Rattus norvegicus: one gene and its partner. The protein of the gene in region 2 interacts with the protein of the main gene of each other region in a biochemical or structural test. Links are inferred from orthologs where the notes say so. Each region holds a gene or a part of one and is shown on either strand. Other genes may lie near its edges.

Region 1 (4,231 bases), on a different chromosome or scaffold from region 2:
GATATATCAGTAAGAAGCACCTTTGAGAAGTAGGCACTGGGGTTGGGGATTTAGCTCAGTGGTAGAGCACTTGCCTAGCAAGTGCAAGGCCCTGGGTTCGGTCCCCAGCTTAAAAAAAGAGAGAGAGAGAGAGAGAGAGAGAGAGAGAGAGAGAGAGGGAGGGGTAGGCATTGAACTAGCATTACCCAGCATCCCTACCTCAGTCCAGGGATGGAAGCCATACGACAGAGCTTTCCTTTCCTAACCTCCCTGGATGGTTTTCCAAGGCCTGGCTAGTCAATCTACTCCAAAACATAAGATAGCCCAAACCCTGAAAACTTCCACATGACACAGTGGAATCCACTGGACGTCTGGAAAGAGACTGAGCCTAAAGGGTGCTAGGGTTGCAGTTAAAACAGAGGGAAACAGGTAGAATCCAGGCCTAAGCTGAGGACGCACTCTATGTGCATAAGACCGAACAGCTCCAATGGACTCCAAAGAGCTATGTGCAAAGGAAGAACGTACTAGCCCCTAAACATGAGTCAGGGAGAGCACCTATTCCATGACTCAGTTCATCTTCTCTCTCTGCAAACTTCAGGATCCTTCTTCACAGAACAATAAATGTGAGAGGGAAATGCAGAGTATCTCCTTTGCTCCAGGAGATGGAGGCAGGCAGATCTCTGAGTTCAAGGCCAGCCTAGTCTATAGAGAGTTCCAGGACAGCCAAGGCTACACAGAGAAAACTTGTCATGTCTGAAGGGCACAGTCCAGTCAGTCAGCTTCATTCTGCCCCTACCCTAGTGTCATAACAAAGTAAGTCGGGCCACTGGCTCCCAATAGGGCTTTGCCATTCTTGCCCCTGAAACTTTCTCTCTCTTGCCAACCACACAGCCTATTCTCATTTCCTTCTAGTCTCTACTCCAAGGTCATGGTCCCCATTAAAGCTTCTCTGACCATCTTAGCTATAACTGGAGGCTGATACTCTGAATCCCACTTGTTAGCCTCATAATGGTCAGCACCTGCCACAACATGCTAGCCACAAACTCTGTGTGTGTGTGTGTGTGTGTGTGTGTATTTGTGTCTTCTCTGTGAGAGCAGGGCACTCTTGCTTGGGCACACAAACCACGTGATAGGCTCTATACCCTGCTTCCAGTTATATAGTTTGAGTAGGGATGGACATGGAGTTCCAGGAAGGTTAAGAAAGCAATAGGTAGCATCTTAAGGGCCCAGCAACCTTTGGGCTTTAAGTTCGTTTTTTTGTTTGTTTGTTTGTTTGTTTGTTTTGTTTTGTTTTTCAAAACAGAGGTTCTCTGTGTAGCCTGGGCAGTCCTGGAACTTATTAGGCTGGCCTTGAACTCACTTGTTTTTCAAAACAGAGGTTCTCTGTGTAGCCTGGGCTGTCCTGGAACTTAATAGGCTGGCCTTGAACTCACAGAAACCAACCCTCCTTGGCCTCCAGAGTGTTGGGATTAAAGGCACAGGTCAAACCAGGGTGCCCCACCCCTCCCACCCCACTCCAGCTTAAGCTCTCTTTGTCTCTCTGTCTCTCTCTGAGACAGGATCTCACCATGCAGCCCTTGGCTGGTCTTAAACTCACTTTGTAGACCAGGCTATCTCTGAATTCAAGAGATCCGCCTGCCTCAATCTCTGGAGTGATGGGATTTTAAAGGCAGATGCCACCACACCTGGGGTCCTCCAGGTCAATATCCAGTTCACCAGTTACCACAGTTCTTCTGGGAAGACAACCCATAGGCCATTCCTGCCTATCGGCTTTGCCTCTATCTTTTTGGGAGACTCCATAGTCAAGCATTTCAAACTTCAGGCTCAGCAAACTTTCTGGAGGCTAGGACACTTGGAAGTCCCACTCCAACCTGGCATCTAAATACCCATCTCCCTCTAGATCTCAGATCAACTACTACATCCTCAGGGAAGCAGTCCTGGATATTCCCCGCCCAGGTTCTTCCACCCACGTTTCCGCACCTCGAATCTCTTGCTCTACAGCTTAATACAAAGTTAACTATACAGTCACTTTTGTGTTTCTTTTGTACTATCTACTAGGCTGTGAGGCGGGCAGAGGGGCCCCATTTCATCATCTGCACCTCAGTGCCAAATAAAAGTTGCCAAATGAATGAACTTTGAAGTTAGTGCACCACGGGTTCGAGTCTTGTCATAACCGAAGACAGCCAAGGGCCTGCACGCCCTGCATGCTAGATCATCAACTAAGGGGACCTTCGTCTCGGTGTTCCCAACAACAGTGGTGACAATCTGCTCCAGCTGGACTTCCAGGTGATGTCCCAGGGAAACTACATAGAGCCACGTGGCAAGATCCTAGGGAAACGTAAACCTGCCGCTACCGGGAACCCGGGCGGGAATTACAAAGCTGCGCTAGTCGGATCAGTTTCCGGCCCGCCCACTGCACCCATGGGGAAACTGAGCCTGGGAGGTGGCTGTAAGTCGCACGGAGTAGAGCAGAGTTTAATGTTCCTCCTGCTCCCTGGCCGACATCTCTGACTCGCGCTGGTTGGGTTTCCCGGGAGGGGCGCGGGCTACTGGCTCCCTTGATCTTGCACTGGGCCGTCTGACGCTTACCTGGCCGCTCTGCTCCTTAACTTCCCGCGCCGCGCGGACGTAGCCTGCTTGCAACAGATGATGGTAAATAAGGGGAAGCAGCTCCCGCCGCTTCCTGGCCTCGGCCATGCCAGAGATCCGGCCAGGCTATTCACGTGCACGCCCCCTCGCCCCCGCTAGCCGCTTCCCTCGCGCCCTAGAACCTCATGTCCCTCACTTCCGGCCTCGCGTCACCGGGCCGCGCGGCGCGCTGGGAAATGTAGTCTTGCCGCTGGAATGGGCTATCCGGTCCAAGAGGGCTGAGCCATGGAGGTTAACCAGCTCTGCCATTGGCTCGAAGGCGTGTCCTGATCTGGATCCGCCCTCTGGGCGGCCATGATTTTAAAAAAAGAAAAAAAGGTCTCCTGCATCTAAATTCTGATTTACACTTTGAAAAGATTTGATGCCTGTGGCGCCTTTATTCATTTTTGAACTTCCTGATTACTGGCCCCTGCTTCCGATTACTTATTTCACAGTGTTTAGGTCCCACGAATAAGGCTTGAGTTGTCACTGGTGTATTGAATCTCTAAACAAACCCTTACCTGAGCTAGGACAGCACCTAGCTAGGCTTGGGGCATATAAAGAGAAACAAAGCAAGCAGTTGACTCAAAAATCACCCAGGTGGGAGACACAGCAGACAACCTAGCAGTTACAGTTCAGATGTCTGGTGCACTTTGTTGAGAGAAGACAGAGCTCAGGGAAGCATGGAGGAAGGGCACCTATCCCCCAAGAGACATTTAAAATTAGCCTCAAAGACAGCAGAGACGTTTAAGCACTGTGGAGAGGCCAGGCTGGAGGTGCTCTATGAGTCAGAATGTGAAAATTACTTTGGTATTTGGTAAGGGAACCCCAAACAACCCTGTACTGCTAGGCTGTACAGTTGGAAAGATGAAAGTCCAAAATATAGAAAAAAAAATCCCGATGTAGGCTACTGTGTTTATTGAGGGGTACAGTGACCAGGAGAGAATGGGAGTGGCCTGGGACTATTTGAGGCACCTGTTCCTCAAGGACTGGTTGGGAATATGCTGACAGCTTTCACTACGAATTTGGGTCAACACACATGTCCACTGAAGTTTAGGACCCACATAAGCACATATGATAATTAAATCCTTAGTGGTGACTGGACTTTAGAATTACCTAAGAGCTACTCCTGTGGGTGTGTCTGAGTAGGGAGTGCCTGCATTCTTCTTTCACTGTTTCCTGGCCTGCTGATGCGTAACCAATATTCCTGCCATCCTATCTTTCCTTCTGTCATGGCCTGTGAACTGTGAGCCATAGTTAATCTTTCTAATGTAAGTTGCTTCTTGTGATATCTGGCCACAGGGACAAGAAAAGTGACATTCACATTCTAGGGAGAAGCACACAGGACCAGGTGACAGGAGCAGGTGGCATGTGCTGTGTGAGGACACGGGAGACTAATCTACATTCAGACATCAGGCAGATTTGTATTGAATGCCTACTACTGGAGACCACACGGTCTGTACGCCCGCAGCGCTTCCCAGGCTAACGAGAGGGCCGAGTGTTAAATGAACAGCCGTGGCATACATCAAAGGATGGAATAACCTTTTCCTGTGGAACGGCATGGTGTTTGAAAAGTACACTGAAGTCACACTATCTAGATTTAAATTTTGGCTTTGTTTCTTGT
Region 2 (4,113 bases):
AATTAAAAAGAAAACTGTAGCCCTTGCTTAGGTACAGACTGGTTCCCAAGAGAGAACATCATCTCATGTCCCTTTACCATGGGGCCACTACTGCCTTCAGCAGGCTAGGCTAACAACAGGGCAGCAGTCTGATACCTTGACGAGTTCCCTAACGGGTTCTTCATGCACTTGATACATTGGGAGTACTTCCTTGCACAAAATCCCAAGTAACAAAAACTTCTCAGTTCTAATTTTAACACATAGTAGATCAGGAAGCAGCCACATCAAATTTCCAGCTGTTCTGAGTCTTTCCCCTGCAATGCAAGGCTTGAAAATTAAGTATGATTTCTGCGATTCCCACATCAGGGAAGCCAAGAAACTTTTGTGCAGAAAGGAGAACTTAGTTTTTCAGTCCTTTAGCAACATCTTTATGTGAATGGTATTTCAAACCATTTTTTAAAGATCTGTTAGAAACTAAAATCTACTGTAACTATAGTTCTTTTATGTAGGCATTCAAATCGAATTTTAATTATCCATGACATTTATAATGGTATCCTCTAGAGAATAAGGTTTCAATGAGATGTTTACTTTGAAGTCTCAATTTATTTATGTTTTTTTTACTATTCAAAGAGAATATAGTTTTGTTTCATTTTTTTTAAATATCAGAAACCTGGAGACCCACTTGACCCATTCCATTAAGTGTCACACAATAAGTCTAATTTTAGAATATAGTTCTGCCATTTGAATGACTTAGGTATCACTCATCTGGATTTTTCCATATGCAAATGGAAATTAACTGTATAGAGATAAGTTTATTAAGATTATAGAAGACAAGACATATCAAGCAAGCTTCATTCAGAGTTTGATAAGGAGCAACTCTGCCATATATTCAAAGGCACACAAGACTAGCAGCAGTGGTTCTGTATGTTTTTTTTTTTTTTCTGGCTTTCTATCCTGTAATAATCAGTGACCTACCCAAGGCAAGTCTAATAGGTTTTAAGTATCAGAACTGATGTTAACTGTATCCACCCCAGCATTCTGAGAAAGAGGGACCACCCCCACACATATGTACATAAATAAAAAGAATAAAATCTTAAGGGAAAAAAAAACCCTATGTATGTGGGACCTTCAAAGGTGTCTGTGGGGGTGGGTGGGAGTGGAGAATTGTTCACATGTGACTGTAGGATGCCTGCCTTATAAGCACCCCAAGAGATAACGCAAGAGTATGGCTGACTAGATAGTCTTCCTATCATTCACAAACCACTTTTGTATGCTGAAGGGCTTTTAGAAACGAGCACCTGAAACAAAACCTATTCCAATCATCTGTTCTTAAATGAGAACTTAGTTTTCAGACCCAAAACTTTCACTTTTCAGTATTTTATGGTAAAAGTAAATAGAACAAAAGAGTGAAGGAAGCATGAACTATTTATTTCTGGGGATCCTGGAAAGACATAACTAACCTTTATTTTATTTCACTACTTTTTACAAAACTCCATGGCATTAAAATAATCTAAATTCCTAGTTTACTTGTAAAGTAACACGTTCCTATGTTTTAAACTCTAAAAAAAAAAAAAAAGTTTTATGTACTAAAAACCAAACGGAAAAAAAAAACCACATCACAGATATTTAAAATTCTAGATCGTTCTCTAATGACCCAGTGATTGAAACACTGTATATCCACGTTGACCAGTATAGCAGTCACCAGCCACATGTAGCTGTCTGTACAGGTGCCATGTTTTAGTATAGGTGAATTTAATTTTAAAGCATTTTAATTTTTTTCACGTGACCGGCAGCATCCATATTGGGAACACCTCCCAAGTCCACTAAAACTCCAACTATCTGAATTCTAGGATCCCACCTCAAAACAAGAGCTCATTAATAAAACAAGCCCTGTTATCTACTCTCAGGAAATAAACGCATTGCTTGCCTTCATTTATTTGCCCCAACTCAGTATCACAACTAAGTGGGCAATACTGGGGATGAAAGGGATTCCCGTCCGGATAGTAATAGAAGTTTCTACCGTCGTCATACCTGAAGTACGGGCTGATTGCAGCAAGAACGTTTCTATGACAGGAAAATGTTTTCCCGTGATCCACTTCCACTACAATGTCTGTCAACTGTCCTTCATCGTACATTGTTTTGAGTTGCTTAAGAATACTGCAAGCATGGAAAGGGTCCATGGTATCGTTGGCTGTGTCTGAAGATGGAATCCCATTCGGTGTTGGGGAAGACTTACTTAAATCTAGGAGAAAAATCGCACAACCACAAGAAGTTCGAAGCCAGTTTATGGGGTTCCCCCCCCCCCACCAACCCTTACACAAATGCCCGTGTGTAGGCACAGGACCGCCGACATAGGCTCTGGGAGCCGAAAGCTCAACAAGGGCGAACAAGTTCCCAGGCCGGAGCGCTCCTTGGGAGCCCGGCGAGCCCGGACCGCCGCGCTCGCAGAGGGAGCGTGTGAGGCGAGCCAGCCGAGCCGGCGGCTGTGCGCGGGGACTCGGCTCCGGGCCGAGCGCGGGGCGGGAGCCTCCCGAGGGCAGCGCGACCGAGGGCGACTGCCAGGGCACCCCTCAACCGCCTCGCGGGCGGCCGGTACCCAGACACCCGATCTCCGCGGGCGCGCCGCCCACCACCCTCCTCCCCATTCATCCTCGCCTCCTCGCCCGCCGCCTCTCCATCCTTCCCTCCCGCCTTACGGCCGCCTCTTCAGGTCGTGGCCCGCGCCCGCGCTCCTGCTCCGACACTACCAGCGGCCGTACCACGCCACCCACCTGCCGACGCGGCCATTTCTCCAAGGGGCCCCGGCTCCGGTTATTTAAAGAGGAAATGTCATTGCGTTTAGCTTGCTCCCGGGTTCCGGCTCTACTAAGGGCCGCCTAACCAATGAGTGTGGCTGACCAAGCCGGCTCCTCCCCGAGCCTCAAAATACCTGAATCTGATTGGTCAGTATTCTTGTACCGGCGTGTCGGGAAATGTAGTTTTAAGGCCCCCGTTCCCGCGTGCTCCTTGTCGGGCAGAGGACCAAGCCGAGCATTTCTATTGGCTAGCTGGGCAGAGGAGAGTCCCGAGCCCGCCAGCCTGTGCTTGTGAGATGCGCAGCACCCGCTGGGAAATGTAGTCCACTGGCTAAGATGAGCTGTCACTCTGAGACATGAAGTAGGAAAAGCTCTTATAGAGCAAAATTCCCTGGCTAAGGCCTCTCTCCTAGTCTCGACTCCGTTTTAAAAATAATTTTCTTCATACCCCTAATTCCCTATCCCGGACTAGATTCCTGTATGAAAACGCGCTCTGCACGAGGGCTATGAAACCCGGAAAAGTTGGAAATGGTCAGGAAGGCTGTTATCCAAAAATCAAAGGATCTAAGCACCCCCGACCCCGACACACACACACACACACACACACACACACACACGCACGCACGCACGCACGCACGCACGCACACACACACGCGCACACACACACACACACACCTCGAAAATATCGGTAGGCCTCTGATGAGTCACCTGTGACGCCCACTTGAAATTGCATCGCCTGAGCCGCATGCCCTGCTTTCCACAGATGAACCGGGGTCTAGTTACACGGCCACTCAGCACCTGAATCCACTTGGCTTGCATTTGTAGCATACCCAGAAAACACCTGTCACACTAAAGAGTAGCGGGTACTAGAGGGAGACTTAGATGATTGATTTCCGCTGGGCTTCTTGACTGTGAAGAGGGCCTCTGGCTTTCTTGTGAAGAGATGTAGGAGAGAGGCTGAGCCTGGGCGCTCCTCTGGACCATGCTCAAGTTCTGGCTCTTGCACAAGCTCTTCCAGCCCTTGAACTTAAGGTATAACAGCCGCCAATCCACATTCGGCATTCAGTCTACTTTATAGTTTTGTTTTTTTTTTTTTTTTGTTTTTGTTTTTTTTACAAGAAAGCAGGGTTTTTATTGTTGACTTATTGTTTTTCTTCCATTTTGTGTTTGTGTATAAGCGCGCGTGCATGTGCGTGTGCATATGCGTGTGTGCGTGCATGAGTGCGTGGATGTACTTTTTGGGGGGCAGTTCAGGTGCACATGGAGGCTGGAGATTGGTGATGGAAATCCTACAACATTGCTTCTCTACCTTATTCAGTGAAGCATGGTCTCTCAATCA

The links.
Region 1: the proteins of Kbtbd8 (region 2) and Tcof1 form a complex in vitro, tested with the Homo sapiens proteins (2 studies listed by BioGRID, with this or other methods). The link is inferred for Rattus norvegicus from reciprocal best matches to the Homo sapiens genes KBTBD8 and TCOF1.

The regions. Positions count from the first base shown.
Region 1 is NC_086036.1:56,567,926-56,572,156, forward strand, and holds the start of Tcof1 (treacle protein), read right to left. Parts: upstream 2,803-4,231; 5' UTR 2,677-2,802; coding exon 2,569-2,676; intron 1-2,568.
Region 2 is NC_086022.1:129,231,656-129,235,768, reverse strand, and holds the start of Kbtbd8 (kelch repeat and BTB domain-containing protein 8), read right to left. Parts: upstream 2,806-4,113; 5' UTR 2,767-2,805; coding exon 2,751-2,766; exon of another isoform or gene 2,676-2,750; intron 2,222-2,675; coding exon 2,011-2,221; intron 1-2,010. UniProt on the Homo sapiens protein: Substrate-specific adapter of a BCR (BTB-CUL3-RBX1) E3 ubiquitin ligase complex that acts as a regulator of neural crest specification.